Linked DNA regions of Alligator mississippiensis. The protein of the gene in region 1 interacts with the protein of each later gene in a pairwise test. Links are inferred from orthologs where the notes say so. Each region holds a gene or a part of one and is shown in the gene's direction. Other genes may lie near its edges.

Evidence for each region.
Region 2: the proteins of AP4B1 (region 1) and ZNF576 interact in binary tests that used the Homo sapiens proteins (3 or more experiments, as listed by UniProt). The two-hybrid records come from large-scale screens. The link is inferred for Alligator mississippiensis from reciprocal best matches to the Homo sapiens genes AP4B1 and ZNF576.

The regions. Positions count from the first base shown.
Region 1 is NC_081837.1:45,362,366-45,372,489, forward strand, and holds the start of AP4B1 (AP-4 complex subunit beta-1), read left to right. Parts: upstream 1-5,421; 5' UTR 5,422-5,510; coding exon 5,511-5,623; intron 5,624-5,713; coding exon 5,714-5,938; intron 5,939-6,462; coding exon 6,463-6,593; intron 6,594-7,428; coding exon 7,429-7,576; intron 7,577-8,414; coding exon 8,415-8,911; intron 8,912-9,614; coding exon 9,615-9,698; intron 9,699-10,124. Other genes in the region: DCLRE1B (5' exonuclease Apollo), read right to left, coding at 1,990-3,239, 3,765-3,947, 4,796-4,961, 5,044-5,232.
Region 2 is NC_081838.1:30,899,521-30,909,643, reverse strand, and holds ZNF576 (zinc finger protein 576), read left to right. Parts: upstream 1-6,324; 5' UTR 6,325-6,491; exon of another isoform or gene 6,492-6,617; 5' UTR 6,618-6,693; coding exon 6,694-6,740; intron 6,741-7,504; coding exon 7,505-7,656; intron 7,657-7,731; coding exon 7,732-8,249; 3' UTR 8,250-8,665; downstream 8,666-10,123. Other genes in the region: interferon-inducible GTPase 5, read right to left, coding at 124-1,273, 1,537-2,117; uncharacterized protein LOC109283767, read left to right, coding at 3,734-4,422, 4,592-5,627; zinc finger protein 48, read right to left, coding at 9,977-10,123. UniProt on the Homo sapiens protein: May be involved in transcriptional regulation.

The DNA.
Region 1 (10,124 bases):
GCATGGGGGTTTGTACTGGGCTCAATGCCTGATCCCACAGCAAGGCACAGAGGTAAGTACAACCAGCATGCGGCTGTTAATGCAAGCTCTGGCTTCATATTAGAGCTCGTGGACCCAGGCATGTAAGCTACACTGCAGGGACCATGGCTCTGTGCTGGGCACCCCTGTGGGGGCACCATGCACAAGCACTGCTTTTTCTCTCCAGTGCAAAGAAAAGGAGCGTGCCTCTTCGTTCCATCACAGTCAAAGGTTATCTGAGAGACTTTTGGTTAGAAGAGAAGCATGGGAACGCAGAACTTGCTTTGTGAACAGAACAAACTTTATTAAGTTTTGTACCAACAACACTTTCAGAAGGCAAATAAAAATTCAAGTGAGGCATTTATGGCCATTAAGGAGGGAGCATCTAGGCTACAGCCTCCTTGTGCATGTCAACAGCCAACCAAACAGAACTACGGGCTGAAGTGATCTGGCTTCTTGTGCCTCAGAACTCAGCTGCGTGCATCCGTGCCCCGACAGCCTCTCACAACACAGTCATTTTCCACTTGGGAAGACTGTCATTTTACTTGTACCCATGATTATACAAAGACTTGCGAACAACTGGACTTAAACTAAGCCCAGTGTGGGATAGGGGTAATGCTCTCTTCCCCACAGGAGAGCCTGGAACTGACCCCTAACCTGTTTGGACTAAGACCCCCCCACAGAACTTCAACATTTCCCACCCCTCTCCCATGACCCCAACACAGCAGCAGGCCAAATTTTGTGCAGGTCCAAGTTAAGGCAACAGAAATGGGATCACCTTAAGCTCAGGTGAATGCATCTCCCCAAATCCCATGTCAAGGGAAGTACGAGACCTAATTAGCCTCACCATCAAACCAGAGAGTGGGCAATACCTTTAAGCATGATCCATCTTAACAGAAAAATAACAGCCACCAAATGATCTTTTTGGTGTCTGCTCGCCTCCATTGGGGAAACAGCCAACGCAAATGGCAATTAAGGAGAAACAGGTTCCCTGGCTTACATTAACCCTGTCAAGGGGCCTGGAATTCACACCCCTCAGGTCCTATGGCTGTGGCCTGGCTAGATGATAATGCCTGACTGTTCCTGAGTTGGAGGCTTTTTACAGCCAAGGAACAAGGAACAACAGCCTAGAAATAAGCACAGATTCCAGAGAACAGGACACGGGAAGCCTTGCCCTTTGCAAGTCACAGAATTCCTGCTATCCCAGAAGGAAGGATTTACAGCTGGCATCAGCATGCTGTCAGCAGGAGGGCAGAAGTACTACTCGGTGGCCAGCTGAAGCAGCTTGCCACACTAGTGTTTTCTGACACGGTTTTCTCCATGATCGCACAGAGGCCTGAAAGCTCTTCATTTTCATTATTTCTTTAAATTAACTTCTTAACCTTGTAAACAGGCTAACACACAAACTCCCCCCAATACATCTTGGAAGGATGTTGGCTAGCAGCTAGAAATTCAAACCAGCAGCAAGATAATGATCTGGGACTTACACCCCCATCTCAGTTTGCTTTTACTCAGGAGACTCTTTCCCTCATCCCACAGAAACCCTGATACCAGGGTCTGTCCTGGATAGCTCATGTCCCCCTACTGCTCATTTGAGAATGGGTAGGGGCTATTCCAACCCCCTCTGCCCTGAAATGACATCAGGTTTGCATGGAAGGTGCAACAAGTACAGAACATGTTCCTGTAATCAAGCGTGCTAGTCTGAGTGCCAGTCTAGAGCCCTGGGAAACGCACAGGGTCACAGCCCATTACTTAGAATCTACCCCCAAATACCGAGGCCAATAACCACAAGATAAACACATTCATAAACAAGGTATCTAGGCTGCTGCTCAATGCCCCTTACCCTCCTAAACAAAACAAAACGTTCAAAAGCCACCCCGTCAGCAGACTGCAGAAGGCAGACATGATGACAGGACTCTTGTGTGCCATGTGACATAACTAGACAGCTGGTGCTGACGGGCAGGCCATTTCTTAGGGCCCTTCTCCCTTCCTCAAGTAGTTTTCCACCAGTTGGTCAAAGCTCTGTGAGGAATATTGCTCGAGTGTATTTAACGGCACGAGCGAACACCCTTCTGCAAGGCTAGGTGTAACTTGTTCGCTCGACACAGGTGACAAGCTGGGCAGGCTGCTACTGTCACCAGCCGCCTCTACGGGAAGAAATTCCTCTCCCTTTGAGGAGGGTGAACTCTGCTTGCAAGAGGGAGTATCTGCCTTCTGAGCAGGTACAAACTGTAAAGGGGCATAGTATACCCACCTAGGTGGGCATGGGATAACATGGCACAAAGGAGTGTCAGGCTCCTTGTTCAACCAAGTCCCCTCAGTCTCAGTGTTCTTGGATAAAGGACTCCCATGTGACTCTACTAAGCCTGATTTCCCTTCTTCAACACTGGTGCCCAGTGGTCTTACCAGCTGTTCTTTGGCAGGTGCTGATGAAGGAGACTGTGCTGAGAGAAGCTGTCCCTGGGCACCGTCACTGCTGCAAGTCTTTTCCATTTCCTTTCTTTCCGTGCAACACCAAGGGCAGCAAACGCAGTCTCCCTGACAACTTGTACCAGCCCACTCAATTTCCTCAGAATTTTGCTGGTAAACTTCCACATCCCCAGAGGTCTTCAACTCGTGACTCTGCACAGCTCCTGAGCTCTTGGACGTGTCAGGGCATTCCTCTAGGGACTCGAAGATGACCCCTAGCGGCCCAGGTTGCCGTGCAGGTATGGTAATTTTCAGCAGCTGCCTAAGCCTTTCCTCTCTCCTGCTATCTGTCAGTGGTGTGACATCCTTCCAAGACTGTAGGACGCTGGGGACAGGAAACAGCTCACGGTTAGGGTTCAGGTACTTCTCCAAGTAAGCTTGACACGCCATGCTCTTGACTATCGGGATGACTGAGCAGGGTTTCAGCCACTGGACAAATTCACACAGCTCCGAGAAGGACGAGTGGTCAGAATAGGGAATGATGTGCATATTGGGATGGGTTTTCTTCAGCGGGCGCCCAGTGGGGAGAATGGCAATCGTGGGGTGCTGCTGGTTCCAGTAGCGCACAGACTTCCAGCGGATTTCCGAGGGCTCCACCACATGGATCCAGCCAGAATCTTCCCAAGTGGTGAACGGATGGTGCTTATCCAACAGCTCCAACACAGCCAGCCTCTCGGGGCTCACCACGATCCAGGTGTTAAACGTCAGGGACAACTCAGTTAGGAGTGACTCCTTCCCCAGAGTGTAGATACCTGGCAAAGAAAAAACAGAACAGCTTAGCAACTTTTAGAGACTCAGAAGTATTTTGTCAAGGCAAAGACAGTGCCTGGGGAAGGTGACCAGGGCAGGGAGAAAATAGCTGTAAGACTCCAGAGAAAGGTGCCTACCCACAAGGGGAAATTAGAGAGAGACAGCACATAAGACAACACAAGCAATGCCCTGAAGAACTGACGCGTACTTTGTACGAAGAGGAAGAAAAACAATTGCTCTCTGCGCCCTCCAAAAACCTCAAGATTATTCCACAGCCTCACACCTGCAGCACTTCAGACACCAGAAGTGAAGCAGACTCAAATCTGCACTCTGATTAGCAGAAATACACATCGTTTGCATCATCCAGGCCAATGAATGCACAAGCCAGACACAGCAAAGGGCACAACCCAGCCACCCCTCGCACAGTATCATCCGGTCCTGGTTAGGCATTCACCACAACTCCAATTGGGGCACTGGCTGCAGTTCACACCCTGCCATATGCCAAGCTACCAAGAAGTCTGGCTCACCAATCTTGACGTGGTACTTAGGGTGGGCCTTGATCAGCTCTTTTATTTGTTCGGTGGCCTGCTCCCTGGAAGGCAGGACCAGCGCCGGGTCACAGTATGTGTTGTCCAAGTAAAGAACGTCAATTTGTTTTTGGTTCATTAGGACTGGTTCCTTCAGCATTGCCGGAGTGTAGCGAAAATCACCTGGCAAGAAGCAAAGCAGCACCAGTTTGCAAGGCAGAAACACAGGATCTGGGGACACCGGGAGCAACGGGGCCCACCTAGCGGTTACTGCTCCACGTTGCAGGCTCCGAAACTCAGGGGAGGTCCCCAGCTTCCAGGACACGGAAGCAGTAGGAGCCCGACTGCTTGGGTGCTTTTTTCTAGGACATCACGGAAGTGATGTGGGCTGAACTCCTGGTGAGCGACTCACATTTCTACAAGGGACAGCAGTGTCAGCCCTAGCAGCCACTGCCAAAGGTGCAGGCCTGGAGCAGGCAGTGAAGGCAGGAAGTGTCATTAAGGGGGTGGGGGGAACGGGACTCGTGGCTGCCGGGTGTGGTGAAAGCTGACCGTGCAGCCAGGTTCGCAAAGGGACTGGACACCTTGGAGGAAAGGGGCCTCAGCGGCCATTGAGCAGGTGACTGAGGAGCGCAGCCTCCTCGTCAGACCACACCTGGCCTTTCACAACACGCTGCGTGAGAAGGAGCTTCTCGGGGTTGGCTTTAAACGGATGACGGGCATGTTTCACATGGCAGCCCCTCCTCGTGGGGAGAGTCGATGACCAACCCCTGTGGACTTTCTCGTTGCCGTTTTCTGCATCATAAACCTTTCTCCTGCCCCCTCCAGCATCTCTTCCCTGCACTGAGCCTTGACCGTCTCCTCATGAGAAAGGCCCCCGGCCACTCCTCCGCTCGCCGCCCCGCCCCAGTTCTCCCATCTCCCGCGGGGGACGTGTGAAGGGGTGCGGCGATACTCCCTGCCGTCTCACAGGCCCTCGGCACTGGGTGCGAGGGAGAGGCTGGGCCGCCCCGAGACCCCAGACCCGGTACCTGTGTAGAGCACGACCCCGAAGTCCCCCTCAAAGAGGAACATGACGGAGCCGGGGCAGTGGTCGGCGTCGATGGGCGTCACCGTCATGGTGCGCTGGGCCCGCTCGTCCAGGATCACGACATGGCTCTGCCCCACCTCCAGCGGCCGGATCCAGCACGCGTCCACCTGGGGGGAAGGAGGGAGGGAAGGAAGGCCGGGCCGATGAAGGCCGGGCCGGGCCGGGGGTGGGGGATGGGCCGGGCGGTACCTGCAGGCGAAGGCGCAGCAGGTGGCCCGTGAGAGGGGAGCAGAACAGCGGGCGGCGCCAATTGCGGGTCAGCCCGGCCGTGTGGTCCGCGTGCAGGTGCGTGAGGAAGAAGAGGCGGGCGCCGCGCGTCCTGCGGCGGCCCCATAGGTCCACGGCCACGGGCGGCTCGTCCAGCAGCGTCCCACTCATGGCTGTCAAGCCGCGCCACGTGCCTGTCCGCCCCCGCTTCCGCTTCCGCTTCCCGCCAAGGCCGCGCAGCGCATGCGCGGCGGGCAGGCGCAGGGAGGGGCCGCGCTCAGCTTCCGGCCAAGGCTGCGTGGCGCAGGCGCAGGCCGCTGAGAGGAGCGGGGCGGCGCCGGGCGTAGTGCGCCTGCGCGGGAGGGGACGCGCCTGCGCAGTGTGGCGGTGGCGGCTGAGCCGGAGGGGGCGGCGCCGGGTCGTTCACTCTGGAGCGGAACGACGGCGCGATGCCGTACCTGGGCTCGGACGAGGCGGTGCGCGAGCTGAAGCGGGTGCTGGCCAACCCGCACGTGCAGGCGGACCGGCTGCGCTACCGCGGCGCAGTGCTGCGCGCCGTGCGGTGAGGCGAGGCGGGGAGGCGCGGCGCGGCGCGGGGCCGGCCCGGGTGCGGGGCGCTGCGAGCTGACCCCCCCCCCCCCGTGTCCCGCAGGCTGATGGCGCGCGGCGCGGACGTGTCGCCGCTGTTCCCGGAGCTGCTGCGCGCCCGCGCGGCCCCGGACCCGGCGCAGAAGCGTCTGGCGCAGCTGTACGTGGGCGCCCACGCGCGGGGGCAGCCCGAGCTCGCGCTGCTGGCCGTCAACACGCTGCGCACCGACTGCGCGCACCCCAGCCCCCTGCTGCGCGGGCTGGCGCTGCGCGGGCTCTGCGCGCTCAGGTGCGTGTGCTCATCCTCCCCACCGCCGCGTGTGCGTGTTCACGCTTGCCCGCAGGTGTGTGTGAGTGCTTGTCCATGCGCATGTTCATGCGTGTCCTTGAGTGTGCGTGGGTATGTGCCTCAGGTGTGTGCATTTCATACGTGTCCTTGAGCGCGCGTGGGTGAGTGCATATGCTCCTGCCTGTCCCGGGCGTGCACATGTTCACGCGTGTCCCCGAGCGCACGTGTGTGTGTCCGCGTGTGCCCCCAGGTAACGCAGCACCTGTGTGCAGGGGTGGGCGCTCTCTGCGCGTGTGGCTGCTCAAGGCGGAGGGCGGGTGGGCGGGCGCGCGGGGCTGGGCGATGCAAGGCCGGCCCCGGGCCAGAGCCCCTGTGACGGGTGCCATGAGCTGCAGGGGTGGGGTGTCCTCTGCTTGGCTCCCTGAGAGCAGCCCGGGCCCTGCCGTGCAAGCAGGCTCATGTGCCCCGGAGCAGCTCGTGGGATCCAGGGTGAGCCCCACCGTGCCTTGTGCGTTGGTCCCCAGGGTGCCCGGCATACAGGAGTACATCCGGCAGCCCCTTCTGAACGGCCTGCGGGACAAAGCGTCCTACGTGCGCAGGGTAGCGGTTCTCGGCTGCGCGAAGATGCAGAGCCTCCAAGGGGACTCCGAAGTGGGTAAGCCTGGAGGGTTTCCCTGTTGGCTTGTTTCAACTCCCCGTTTGTTACGTGTTTATTCCTGGCTGCGTTGTCTTTTTCCGACAAAGGCCCCAACAGCTTAGATTGCGTGACAAAATAACCTAAACCTGGGAGAGTCGTAAGAGAGCAAAACAACTTGAAAGGGAGCTAGACTGTGGAGCTAAAACAGTTCCTAGACAACACCGGGGTCCAGCTTTGTTTGGTAAACACCCACGCAAGTAGGAAGCTCTTACCGCTCTTGTGAAGCTGTCAGCCTCGCTCGAGTGCTCGCGGTGATGCATGATCGTCGCATGTGCTGGGCAGGGAGAGCGGCACTTAGTCCTTCAGGAACGTGCAGCCTGTTCCCATACTTCAGACAAGGAGTCAGGGCCTCCCGTCTGGCCTGTGTTTTGACCTTAGATCCCAGGCAGGACAGACAAGCTATCTGTGAACCAAAGGCAGATTCTTAAAAGGCTTTTCTTCTCGGGCCTTTCCTGCAGCTCAGGCTGGCAGAGCGAGTTTCCTGAAGGAACGGTCCTTTCATGTTTTTTGTCTTTACTAGCCTGGAGCTCTTCTCCTCTGCCGTTCTTTGTGTTACATCTGAGCTGCAGCCTCTGGCACCTGATGGGCTCTGTGATCCGCGTGATGGTGGGCTCGGTAGGGCGAGGCTGTGTCATACATAGATGCTACTAGAAAGCCAGATGGGGTTGCAGATGTTGTTATTCTCCATTCCCAAGCCATTTGTTATGGCCCTTCTGTTTGTGGGCTGTGGCTAAATCACCCCAACGGACCCAGCGGTCAGGTCTGTGCCGTCCTCACCGTGGCTTCTTTGCAGATGGTGCGCTGGTGAACGAGCTGTACAGTTTGCTTCGTGACCCAGATCCCATCGTAGTGGTGAACTGCCTGCGGGCTCTGGAGGAGATTCTGAGGCAGGAGGGAGGAGTCGTCATCAATAAGCCCATCGCCCATCACCTCCTCAACAGGTTTGTTCTCCCTCAGACTTGTGCAAAGCTGGGAGTCTCGCCGTAGTGGGATTGTCTTGCGTTTGCTACATCAGAGAACAGGTGCACCCTGTTCCTGTCAGCTCGGGGAGGTTCAGCGTGGGAGATAGCTGGGAGCAGAAGCACATAGGTGCCCATTCTAGAAGGGACCAGGGTAAGCTGAAGCTAAGATCACACGTGAAATATGAGACCATGCCCTGCCATGCTAGTGACACAGGGAACCTTTGGCTGCCAAGTCCAGGACAAATTTGTGACCAGCTGTTGGTCGTTATAAATCGTACTAGAGAGCAGCATTTTTTTATAGGAAGCTTCTGTCTTCCTTGACAGCACACAGGCTGCATCTCTGAGACCTCCTGCATCCTAACCTGTCCGTCACATTTACATCCCCGTGCGTGTAAAGTGGTGGAAGTCATATCCACTGCCTGGAGGAATTAGCTTCTCCTCACACAGGCCCTCAGGCCTGAAGTCCTAGTTGCAAAACTAGCAGTGGAAAGAGAGAGTGGCATTTCTTCCCTGTTGTGCTGCCCTGGGACCCCATCAAGGTTTCTTTCTGGCACATTGCCTGGGGGAAGGAACAAATAAACAGGGAGGGGGGGAGTTCATCTGCGACCTGTGTAAGTTAGTTAGCTCCTTTTGAGAGACAAACTTAGCATCTTCTTCTGCAATTCTGGCACCTGACCTTGAACTGAAACCATCGCAGAAGCAGCAGTTGCAGCCCCTGAGCTGTCCTGGGGTGACCCTCATTTCACTGTATGACTTCACATGATTTTGTGCTGCCCTCATCTGCCACAGACTGTTTACTGTGCTCTTTCCTTGGCAGAATGGCTGACCTAGACCAGTGGGGGCAGAGCGAGGTGCTGGCCTTTCTTCTGCGCTACACGCCCCGGAGCGATGAGGAGCTCTTCAACATCCTCAACTTGCTGGATGGGTATCTCAAGAGCAGCAGTCCCAGCGTTGTGATGGCAGCCACCAAGCTCTTCCTGGTGCTGGCCAGCGAGTACCCACACGTGCAGACGGACGTGTTGGTGAGGGTGAAGGGGCCGCTATTGGCTGCCTGCACTTCTGAGAGCCGGGAGCTCTGCTTCACCGCCCTGTGCCACGTGCGGCAGATTCTCGGAAGCCTCCCTGGCCACTTCAGCAGCCATTACAAGAAGTTCTTCTGTTCCTACTCAGAGCCCCACTATATCAAATGCCAGAAGATGGAGGTGTTGTGTGAACTGGTGAACGATGAGAACGTGCAGCAGGTGCTGGAGGAGCTGAAGGGCTACTGCACTGATGTGTCTGTTGAACTTGCCCAAGGGGCCATCTTTGCCATAGGTAAGAGTCCTCTCTTGTCTCTGGAGCAGCTGAGACCTTGCTCAAGTCTCTCAGAAAGATGGGTCGCCTGTAGCTGAGGTGAGCCTGGGCCAGCAGCAAATGAGTGCTGTGTGCTGGAGCTGTGTCCCAGCACCGAACCCAGAACGAGCCAGATCTCCCAGAAACATGGGCATGGTCCTCAGCACAGGCTGTGTGGAGCCTTTCTGAACCGGGGGCGCCCCTGGAATGCCTGCGTGCCTTTTCCCACCCTGGGAAGCTGGGTGCTGAAGGTGCGTGGCGATGGATTGTATTGGCAACCACAAACTACTTCATTCCCAGTCAGTTGGCGTGGTGGCCTTGTGGGCTTCTCTTTCACTGTCTGGTTGTCTTCTGGGTGGTGCTGTGGGGACAGAGGTAAGGGGGGTTTGCAGGGACCCTGTTTTTGCGTTTGAAGGTTTTAAGGTAAAATGCCTTCGTTACAACAAAGGATAAGCTTCCCTTTTCCATCCCTGTCTTTTCTCTCAGCTGTTTTGGACAGAAGTGCAGGGTTTTCCCAAGAGCTTTTTTTTTTTTTAGCCCAAGTGAGGACTAGAGCCTGCTGACTAATGTCAGGCACAAGTATATTCAGATCCAAGTGTTTTGCTTGAGAGGAAGCTTGTAGCCTGAACACCGGGGTCTATGTCTCTGACCAGAACTTGGCTTGTTCCCTGTGGCGCTCTTTCAGGCAGCATTGCCAGGACGTACACAGAACAGTGCGTGGGGATTCTGACGGAGCTGCTGGGCCTCAAGCAGGAGCACATCACTTCAGGTAACTCCTGGCTGCTGGTTGCGTCAAGGGGATTGCCAGCCCCCCACCTTCAGGAAATGGCTCCAACTCTATGCTGGGGTTTGGGAAAGCCCCGTCCTGCTGGCCACAGCTTGCTGAGGTTTCGAACAGAATAGGTGTCCCTAGAGATTTCCTTGTTCAAAGGGTGGAGGCAGGGATGGCTTCATAACTTCTCCCTTCTTAGATAGGTGCCTTGAGAGTCACGGGGACAGGTCATGGCTGCTCCCATGGTGCGATGTGGACTAAGCCTTTGGGCCATCCCCTGCTGACTCGGACAGAGAGCAGATGCAAAGAGGCATTTTAGAAAGGTCAGAAGTTTTTGTCAACATGACCTTGACATGCTCTCGTTGGCCCTTCTGGTCTCAGCTCTTAGAGATAGCATAAGCCCTCTGAGCCTGACCTTACTTC
Region 2 (10,123 bases), on another chromosome or scaffold:
TCTCTCCTTTCTAGGGGTCTCGATCTGGACCTGATCCTGGGGAAGGTGGGGGTGGTGAAGTGAGGGGATGCCAATCCTGGTCAGTAGTGGGGGATTCTCCCTCTAGGGAGTCCCAATCTAGGCCTAACCCTGGCCTGGACAGGGTTCAGTGGGCAGGGGCTCCCCGAAGGCCCGGCATAGCACACGGTGGGCATCCTCAGCCAGCTCCTCGATGCAGTGGCCCAGCAGCGCATGGGTACAGCGAAAGGTCAGGCCTCCAGCCGCCAGTGCACCACAGAAGGGCAGGCGGTGCACCAGCAGCTCAAGCGCCAGCCCACCCAGTGCCCCGCCAGCTGCCCGGCCCAGCAGCCCCTGCACCAGCTCACGGCTCAGACCCCGGCCTGGCGCACTGAGCACAGCGGCCCGCAGCACCGACAATGTTGTCCCACTGCGTGCCGCCAGCCCCGCCAGCCCAGCGGCATGCAGCCCCAGGGCATGGCGGTATGTGGTCAGGGCATCCAGCACCAGTGGCACATCGCAGCTCAGTGCCAGCCCGGGCACAGGCACGGCAGCTGCCAGGCTGGCTGCCAGCGCCACCTTCCAGGCCTCAGCATGCAGTGCCCGGCGTTTGGCTTCCACCAGCGCTGGTGTTAGTGGGGGTAAGGCCAGCGTCAGTGCCCGGGCCTGCTCCTCCGGCAGGGCTCGTACCAGTGCCTCCCATAAGGCTGCAAAGTCATAGCGCTCTGGCCGTCGAGTGCTGAGCACGAAGACAAGAGCATCTGGCAGCCCCAGGGCCGCCAGCTCCTCCTGGCTCGCCTGGCGCAGTGCTGCAGCCTCCTCCTCCTCCAGCACCTCTGCAGCACGGATGAAGTAGCCATGCTTGCCCGCGACACGGCCCAGCTCCATGTGGCTGTTGCCAAAGGCCGCAGTGGCAAGGATGAGGATGATGTCGTAGGTGGTAAGGGTGTCCGGTGCGGACGTGGGCAGGTCCCAGAGCACCACACCGGGCTGCGCAGGGCAGGGGTAGGCCGTGGGCTGTGGCACTGGGGTGCCAGCAGGGGCGGCCTGGGGGTCATCATCAGCCAAGCCGCGCAGCACATTGAGCAGGGGCTGTGTGCTGGTACCTGGTGGCCCCACCACAGCTATGGCCAGCCGCGTGGCCCAATGCGCTGCCAGCCCCCGCTCTAGCCATGCCACCACAGCTTCCAGCCCACCCAGTTCAAAGGCCTCTTGGAGCTCAGCCGCTTCCCGCACCCCAATCACCTCAAAGTCACACAGCACCCGGCGCAGCAGCCTGTGGGGGGAGGGGGCATGGCCTCAGGGGAGGGAGCTGTGGGGATTGGGGGGGGGCTGGATAGGATGGGACAGGGGCTGAAAAGGGTGGGACATGAGGGGATCTGGGGTGCTGGAGAGGGTGGGACACTGGGGGAGTCTGGTGGAGACAGAATATGATGGGACATGGGGCTGTTCCCCCTTCCCGGCCCCTGCCTCTGTGGCAGAAGCCCCCCCCCACCCCAGAGACACTCCCCTCCCCCCCTCAACAGCCCTTCCAGGTACCTCTGGCAGTGCTGGGCCTCGTCGAGCAAGGTGGCACGCAGCTGCGGCGTGTCCAGGCCATGGGGCTGGAGGCTGCAGATGAGGAAGAGCGCAGGGGATGCAGGGACCCCCAGGCTGTGCAGGGCGTGGGTGCAGGCCTGCCGCAAGGCTCCCAGTGCAGCCTCACGGGCCTCACACCCACCACCCAGCAGGCGCCGTAGTGTGTGCAGTGCCAGGTCCGCCTGGGTGCGTACAAAGATCACGGTCTTCCCGGCCTCCCGTGCTGCTGCAGCCACTGCCACCTCCTGCGGCCCAAAGAGCGCGGCACTGGCCACCACCACCACATCGGCCTCAGCCAGCCAGGCCTCGGCACCCGGCACCAGTGCCCGCTCCCACAGCAGCAGGCTGGGCTGCGTGGGGTCGGGGTGCAGCTCAGGGGGCCCCGGGGCAGGTGGGACCTCCAGAGGGGCAGCATGGGGGTCAGTGGGTGCCAGTCCCCGCGCTGCATTGATCAATGCTGTCTTGCCGCAGCCTGGCACCCCCAGCACCAGCACTGAGACTTCAGCCAGCTCCGCAACATCTGCAGTGGGTGGCTGCGCCATGGTGGGGGCTGCGGGAGAGAGTGTGGGGGTGAGGGGACCCCAGGGCAGCAGCCCCCCAGGATTGGGGCCCTGATGCCCCCCTACCTGCAGGCCAGTTCCTGCAAATGCCCAGCACCCACCGGGGGGGGGGGGCAGGGGGATGAATGGATGGACAGAGAGATGGGTGGATGGATAGAGAGATGGATAGAAGGATGGTTGGGTGGGGGGGGTAGGTAGAAAGGTGGATGGAGGGACGGACAGAGGGAGAGATTAGATGCTCTCCTTTATCCCTTCATGTATCTACATAGCCATCCCTCTGTCCACCTGCCCAACCATCCACCCCCTTTCTATCCCCATTTATTCCTCCCCCTATCTATCTATCTATCTATCTATCTATCTATCTATCTATCTATCTATCTATCTATCTATCTAGTACCTACACGCCTACATATCCTGGCACTCCTCTATCATCTCTCCCTCCGTCTGTTTGTCTGTCTACCCACCTACCTACCTACTTATCCTTCCATCCACCCATCCCTCTGTCTATCTACAGGAGGCTGGATGGAATAGGAGAACAGATAGAGGGATAGACAAATAGGTAGGTGGACAGACAGACACTTGTGGGGATGGATGGATGGATGGATGGAAAGGCAGATGGATGGATAAAGAGGGGGATGGTTGGATGGATGGACAGACATGAGTAGGCTGGTAGAAGGATGGATTGACCAATGGACAGATAGGTATATAGGGGGTGGATGGATGGATGGACGGACGGCTGGATGGGTAGGTAGGTAGGTAGAGGGGTGGATGGGCGGACAGATGGGTGGGTGGATGGAGGTGTAGGTAAGTGGCTGGTTGAATGCAACGCAGGGGTAGGCGACGGGAAGCCGGGTCGGTGGACGGACAGATGGACGTGGGGGTGGATGGAGGACGGACGGACGGAGAGAGATACACGCGGCTAGTGGCTAGATCAGGATGTGGGGGGGCGCGGACGCCTGGATACCCCATACTGGGGGGGGCTTGGACCCTTGGATTCCCCTAATGCGGGCGGGTGGGGGAGCGGCTCGGACGCCTGGGTTCCCACGTGCGGATAGAGGGAGGGAGTGGATGGGGAGACGGGGCCTCGGAGGGCCCCCTGGGGCCGGACAGAGGGAGGGAGAGAGGGGCCCCGGGGTGGAGGGGCAGAGGTGGGGGGGCGGACACACGGACACGGGGGACGGGGGGTTCGCGGTGCCCACCCTTCGCCAGGGCCGCTCCCGAGGCCGTGTGTCCCCGCGGCCGTGTCCCGTGTCCCGGCCCCGCGGCTGCGCGTCTCGGCCCCGAGCAGCTAATGGGCCCGGGCGGAGGCGGAGGCGGAGGCGGTGCCGGAGGTTTCGCTTCTCGGCGGAAGGAAGCGGAGACGGACGGCGGCAGCACCGGGGACAGCGCCGCCCCTAGGACACAGGCGTCCGGGGCACCCCAGGCACCTCCCTTCCAGGGAGCCCAGGCCTCCGGCCCCCGGCCCCCCGCCCCCCCGGGCGTCCGCCCCCCCCACCCAGGCGTCCGGCTCCCAGCCCCCCCTTCCAGGGAGCCCAGGCGTCCACCCCACTCCGCACTCCAGCTCAGCCCCGAGAACCCAGGTGTCCGCCCCTGCTGCCATGACGGCACCCCCCGTCCTGCCCCGCTCCTTCCTGGCCGAGACCGAGGCCCTCCTGGCAGCCCAGGACCCTGCGGTGGCACCGGGGCAGCTGCGGGCGCTGGAGGGGGCGGCCAAGGGGCTGCAGGTGCACGTGGCAGTGCTGGGCCCCTGCCGCGCCGGCACCTCCAGCCTGGTGCAGGCCCTGCTGGGCTCCCCGCCCCGGCTCCATGACCCTCATGCCTTCTTCCAGCCACCACCACTCACTCCGGTGCCGCCCACACCCCACGTGCCACCTGCGCTGCCCAGCGCCGTGCTCTGGGACCTGCCTGGGCTGGGGCCCGATGAGGTGCCTGAGGCCTACGTAACGCAGCTGCTGGGCCTGGCACCCTTTGCCTGCCTGGTGCTGGTGCTGCCGGGGCCACCGGGTGGCAATGATGTGGCGATGGTGCGGGCAGTGCAGGCGCGGGCGCGGGCGCTGCCTTGCCTGGTGGTGCGGACAGGTGCTGACCTGGCGCTGCACACAGCCAAGCGGCGCGGCCACACCATAGCCCGGCTGCTACCCCAGCTCCGGGCCCAGGTGTCAGAGCCACTGGCCCGGGCTGGTCTCAAACCCCTTGGCATTGCTGCCGTGTCCACACTGGAGCCTGACCGCTTCGACTTTGCCTGGCTCGAGGATGCGCTGGTGCGTGAGGTGCTGCAGCTGCCCATGTGAGTGACCGGGGCTGAATGCCTGGGTTTTCTGAGGGGGGAGCAGTGGGGGCTGGGGGCCTGGACACCTGGGTTCTCCAAATGGAGGAGTAGGCTCTGGTGGGTGAAAGCAGTGGGACCTGGGAACCCAGATGCCTGGGTCCTAGCCCCTGCCTCCCTCCCGCTGCAGGCTTGACCCTGGGGACCTGCTGGAGGAGCTGCCAGCTGTGCGGGAGCGGACGCTGCGGGCACTGACTGAGGTCTGCGCTGGGGGCAGCCTGGCCGAGGCCCCTGGCCTGCTCCGCGCTGCACTGGCTGATGCCTCCCAGCTGCCCGTGGATGTGGCCGTGGTGGGTGAGCCCGGCTCAGGCCATACCTCCCTCATCGCTGCACTGTGCGGCAATGCCCCTGGCATCCACACGCTGCCTGGTGCTCCCGGCCTCACCCTGTGGGACCTGTCGGATGCAGGCACCGTGGACCCAAGCCGCTATGACCTGCTGTTGCTCACGACCTCCAACGTGTACCGCGAGCCCTTCATCCGCCTGGCCCGGGCAGCCGTTGCTGCTGGCCGGGCCCTCATCATGGCCCGGACACAGGTGGATGTGGACCTACGTGACCCCACCGGCTCTGTGGGCCTGAGGGAGCAGCTGGTGCAGGAAGGCCTAGCTGAGACCCGCGTATTCCTGTTGTCCTCCCATGAGCCCCAGGCTTTTGAGCTGGGCCGGCTGCGGCAGGCACTGGCCGAGGAGGCTGCAGGGCTTCAGCGAGCAGCACTGCCAGTCATTATTGGGCGCCTGGTGCGCAGGGAGCGGCGCCAGGTGCTGGCTGAGGCCTGGCGCCAGGCACTACATGTCTGCCTGCGCCCCATGGAGGATGCTGGGCATGGCCTGGCTACAGCCCTCCAGGCCAGCGCAGCCACCTTCGGGCTGGATGAGGCCTCCCTCACTCGTATGGCTATGGCTGCCAAGCTGGAGCTCCGGGAACTGCAGGCCCAGATCAGGTGCCCCTGGGCACAGATGGTGCAGCCCAGCATGGTGCTGGAGGCTATGGCACCATCACCGTCCCTGGCTGCCCGGCTCTGGAGCTATGTGCCCTTCTGGGGCAGCCCGTCCGTGCCCCAGCCCCAGGTGACACTGGAGGCAGCCTACCACCTGCTGAGCCAGGCGGCAGTCGAGATGGCCCTTGATGCTGAGCGTGTGCTGCTGCGGGCCTGCACCCTGGGGTAGGGGCAGGACCCAGGTCGGATGCAGCTGGCTCTGGGGTGGGCATCAGGGCTGGGTGTAACAGGGCCTAGGATGCTGCTGGCTCTGGGGTGGTTCCCCTCGTCCAACAACACAACAGCGTTCCTTTATGTCTCAGGGGTCACGCCGATCCCGTCCCAGGGTCTTGCACCCACACGTGTCTGTGTCCTGCCTATGGGCCGTGGGGGTCTGCTGCATGTGCCCCCCTGTGGCCCCTGCCTGTGGCCTCTGCAGAGCCCCAGAGCTGCTTCTGTCTGTTGAAATAAATGTTTTGCTTCCACTTGTGGCTGCCACCTCATTTCGTGGTCCCTTGGATGCGGCAGGTGGTTGCAGTGCATTGTGGGACAGCACTCTTTGCACCCCAGTGCATGGAAACTTGAACTGGGTGGGAGGAAGGTCTGTGCCCCAGCGTATGCTTGGAAAGAAGGGAAGCTGGGGGCTCTGTGCCCAGTGTATAATGGGGATCTGGGGTCTCCCTGCCCCAAGGGGCCACACTCAAAGGCAACTAGGAGACAGCCACCGCGGTGCAACCTGGGATCACGGTGGTGGGGCACGTGGCACCCCCTGCAGGCGGCCTGAGACCAGCTAGCAAGACTGAGGCTGCATCGCGCATGCGCTGGGAACCAGGGCAGCGCCAGGGCGCACGCGTACGATCCTGTCTGGAGTCCGCCATTACTGGCAGCCTGCGGCGCGTGCGCACAATCCTCGCCTCTAGTCAGGTGCAGCGTCTGTCTAGTTGTGCGCACGCGTTACTGGATGCAGCCTGCGGTAAAGGGCTGCCCAGTGGCCACTCCACGTCTGTGAGGTAGCCACAGAGGTGCCTGATTAGGAGCGGCGACGTTTCCACGCGTGAGGGGCGCAGCCAACTCACTCACAGCACCGGGAGGGACCCCTGCGCTGGGACAAAGCCGGCGGGACCGGCCAGAGGCCGCAGAGCCTCTAGAACCGGGATGACTGATTTTCTTTTCCGCTCAGGGGCTGGTTTGGGCAGCCCCGCCGGAAATAGGGCGGGATTCTGGCTGGGGCAGGCACCGGAAACAGGAAGTAAGAGATGAAAACGGGGGAGGGGAAAGCAGGGAGAGAGAGGAGAGGAGAGAGGTGAGATATATGGGGGGCTCGGTCTACGGGTCACATGGGAGGAGGGCGCCGCGGGGGAGAGGGAGCGGGTACATGGTGGAGTCAGGGGACCCCTTTGTTATTGGGGAGGGGGAAGAGGGTTCTGGGGGGCACTGGGAGATGGGGGGGTCAATGGAGGGTGGGGGGTTGTGGGGAAAGGAGCGGCTAGGGGGAGGAGGCTCCTTGTGGGGGCAGGGGAGTGCGGGGTGGAGGATCCCCGCTCCTATCTTGGGGTAGGTTGGGGGGGCAGATGGAGCTTCCTGTGGGGGGTTGGTAGGTGGGGGTCCATGGGGTGGGGTGGGCAGCATGGGGCAGGTTAGCGGGGCATGGGGTGGGGGGAGATCCCTGGGGGGGTGGAGTTTGGGACAGGCTGGGGGGTCTATGAGGTGGGGAGGAATGTGGGAGCTCTCAAGGGAGGGAGGTTGGGGGGGCATGGGGTGAGGAAAGATGGTGCTCCTTGGTGGGGGATTGGTCTTGGGGGTTTTTAATGGGGTTGGGCAAATGGGGAAGCTCCCTGAGGGGGTTGGAACACAGGGCAAGGTTGGGGGGGCTATAGGGTGGGGAGGAATTTGGCTCCTTGTCAGGGGGATGGTTGGCAGGTTGGGCAGGGTCCACAGGGAGGGGAGCAATGGGGGAGGAGCGGGGACCCCCCCACTGTGAGGAGGGCAGGGGGTAGCCTCCATCCTGCTGACCCCCCCCCCCCCCCCCCCGCTCACTTCACTGCATCTGTGCCCCCTCCCTGCAAGCACGGCCATGTCTGATGTGGGCTCAGCATCGCCATGTGGAGCCGTTCCATTGGCCCCACGGGAGCGCTCCCCGGTCCGTACCCCGCCGCCCGGCCCCGCCTGCGCGGAGGAGGAGGAGGATGAACCCAAAGCCTCGGTGGCCTCGTCGCTCTGTGAGTACTGCGGGAGCCCGGGGGGAGGGGGACGGGGGGGGGTCCCGCGCCCTGACCCCCTGCCCCCCTCCCTAGATGGTCTGGGCTCCAACCAGTGCTTCCACTGCTTCATCACCTTCCCGGATGAGAAGTTCAAGGAGCGGCACATGAAGCGGGAGCACCCTGAGGACTTCGTGCAGGAAAACCTGCGTGGCACCGTCTTCGTCTGCTTCATCTGCGGCCGGGCCTTCGACAGCTCCCGTGCCCTCATCGGGCACCAGCGCGGCCACGCGCCCCCCCCGGCTCCCTGCCCTTCCTGCCACCGCCTGGCCCACCAGTGCCCTGACTGCGGGCGCCGCTTGGGCCCCGCGCTGCGCCCACGCCTAGGCCCCACTACCGCCACCCCTACCCCCCGCGGCCTCCCCCACCCCTGCCCCGACTGTGGCAAGAGCTTCCGGCAGCTCTCGAACCTCCGGCGCCACCAGGCCTCACACCAGCGCCCGCTGGAGCTGCTGCCTACCCGAGCCTACGCCTGCACAGAGTGTGGCCAGAGCTTCGCCCACGAGGCTGGCCTTCATGAACACTACATCCGCCATGCACGTGGCGAGCTCTAGCCCCCACCCCTGCTGGCCGGAAAGAGAAGGGGGGGTCCTCTCTGTACAGCTGCTGTCCTCAGGGAGGGGGGACAGGAAGGGAGAAAGTAGGGGGGTTTCCCTTAGGAGTGGGGGCTGGGACTTTGCAGATGTCTGTTGGGGCACATGGGAGACATGGGGGAGACCTCCCCGTTCCCTGGCCCCCTCCATGTCTGAGCCTTGGGTGCTATTTATATGGCCAGACCCCTCCCCAGTTCTGGGGTTTCAGATGGTCTCAGAGCAACACGTGTCAGGGGCAGGTAGGGGAGCATATCCCCCCACAGGGGAGGGTCCCTGGGAAGTTGGGGGGGTTGACAACCTGCAGCCCCCGCAGCTTTGGCAGGAGTGAAAGGTTCTTATTTTTCATATGGAGAAAAAGAATAAAGATGATCCGTGGCTGCAGGTGTCATTGTCTCCTGCCTGCCTGGAGTTTGCACTGGAGGTCACCCCAATGCTATGCTGGGGTCTAGGGAGGTTCCTAGTTGGCAGCTGGGAGTTGTGTCCGCATGCCTCTGCCGGCACCGTGGGACTGGGTGGGGAGAGATGTCAGTCCCAGCCCCAGAGACTTTCTTGGTGTAAACCCTGCTCCTGTCCCTGCAAACCCATGAGCACTGGAATTGGAGGGGGGTGGTGGGCATGGAGCCCCACTCTTCTCTACTGGTCCTGGTGTGGTGCTGTGAAATTCATGGCCAACAGTGCTACAGCTGGGGGGAGGGGGGGTATTCCCTAGGGGCAATAGGACCTGAACCTGAGCCAGAGGCCAGGCAGAGCAGGACAGCCAGCAGTGGGCAGTATGCTGCTGTGGGAGTGAGGCCCTGCCCCCCCTTGCCCAGCGGCATGATGGGAGGTGTAGTTTTTAACCCAGTAGGGAGGGAAAGCCAAGTCAGAGGAGTACCCTGCCACAGTGTATGCTGGGAGCTGTAGTCCTAAGAGGAAAATACCGTCTCATAATGCATCCCGGGAGCTGTAGTTCTGGGGGCTGCCCTAGACCATGCTGGGAGCTATATTCTGGGGGGGTTGCCCTAGTGCATGCTGGGAACTGTAGTTCAGCAGGGGCTACCATACTACATGCTGGAAGCTATGGTTCTGGGGGCTGCCCCAGTGCATTCCAGGGCTTATAGTTCTTGCTCTAGAGGGTTTCCCACAGCAGTACTGCCCCTGAGGTCACCAGCCACAGCCCCCCCCCCACCAAAGCAAGGTTAGGGGAGGTAACATGAGCAGCCCATGACATCATTGGTGTGACTTCACAGTCACCACTACAACATCATCTCCCTGTAACAAGCTAGCAAGTCACAGTGTGTTGATTTGCAGGTGGGGGGACGACCACAGGACTAGAACCCCACCCACCAGCCATGACCCACAATTCCCTTCTGTCGGCGCGAGAGAGATGCCCCATTGGCTCATATGCAAGGACTTTTATTAAACAACTTCCTCCCCCCGCCCCCTCCCCCTCAACCCCAGCAGCTTAATGAGCTCGTTCATATTCATGACGGGGCTGACATCCCCCGCCACCTGGAGGGACCCCCCCCTCCCCTTTCCCTGGACTATAGGAAATTGGGGAGGGAGAGGCCTTCTCTCCTGCCCCCACCTGTGACCCGAGCTGGCTCTGGTCTCAACCCCCCTCCACAGGGGGCCCCCCAGCACTGTCGAAGGGTGCACAGTGGGGGTGGGTTCAATGGAAAGGGAAGTGCCAGCAGCAGGAGACAGGGCTACAGCTCTCCACGGGCGTGCAGCATGTAGTGCTCGTGCAGGTCGGAGACCAGGCCAAACTCTCCTGGGCACTCGGTGCACTGGTATGGTCCATCAGCCCCCTCAGGCTCCGGGGGCGGGGGTGGGGGCGGGGGGGCCCCGTTCGC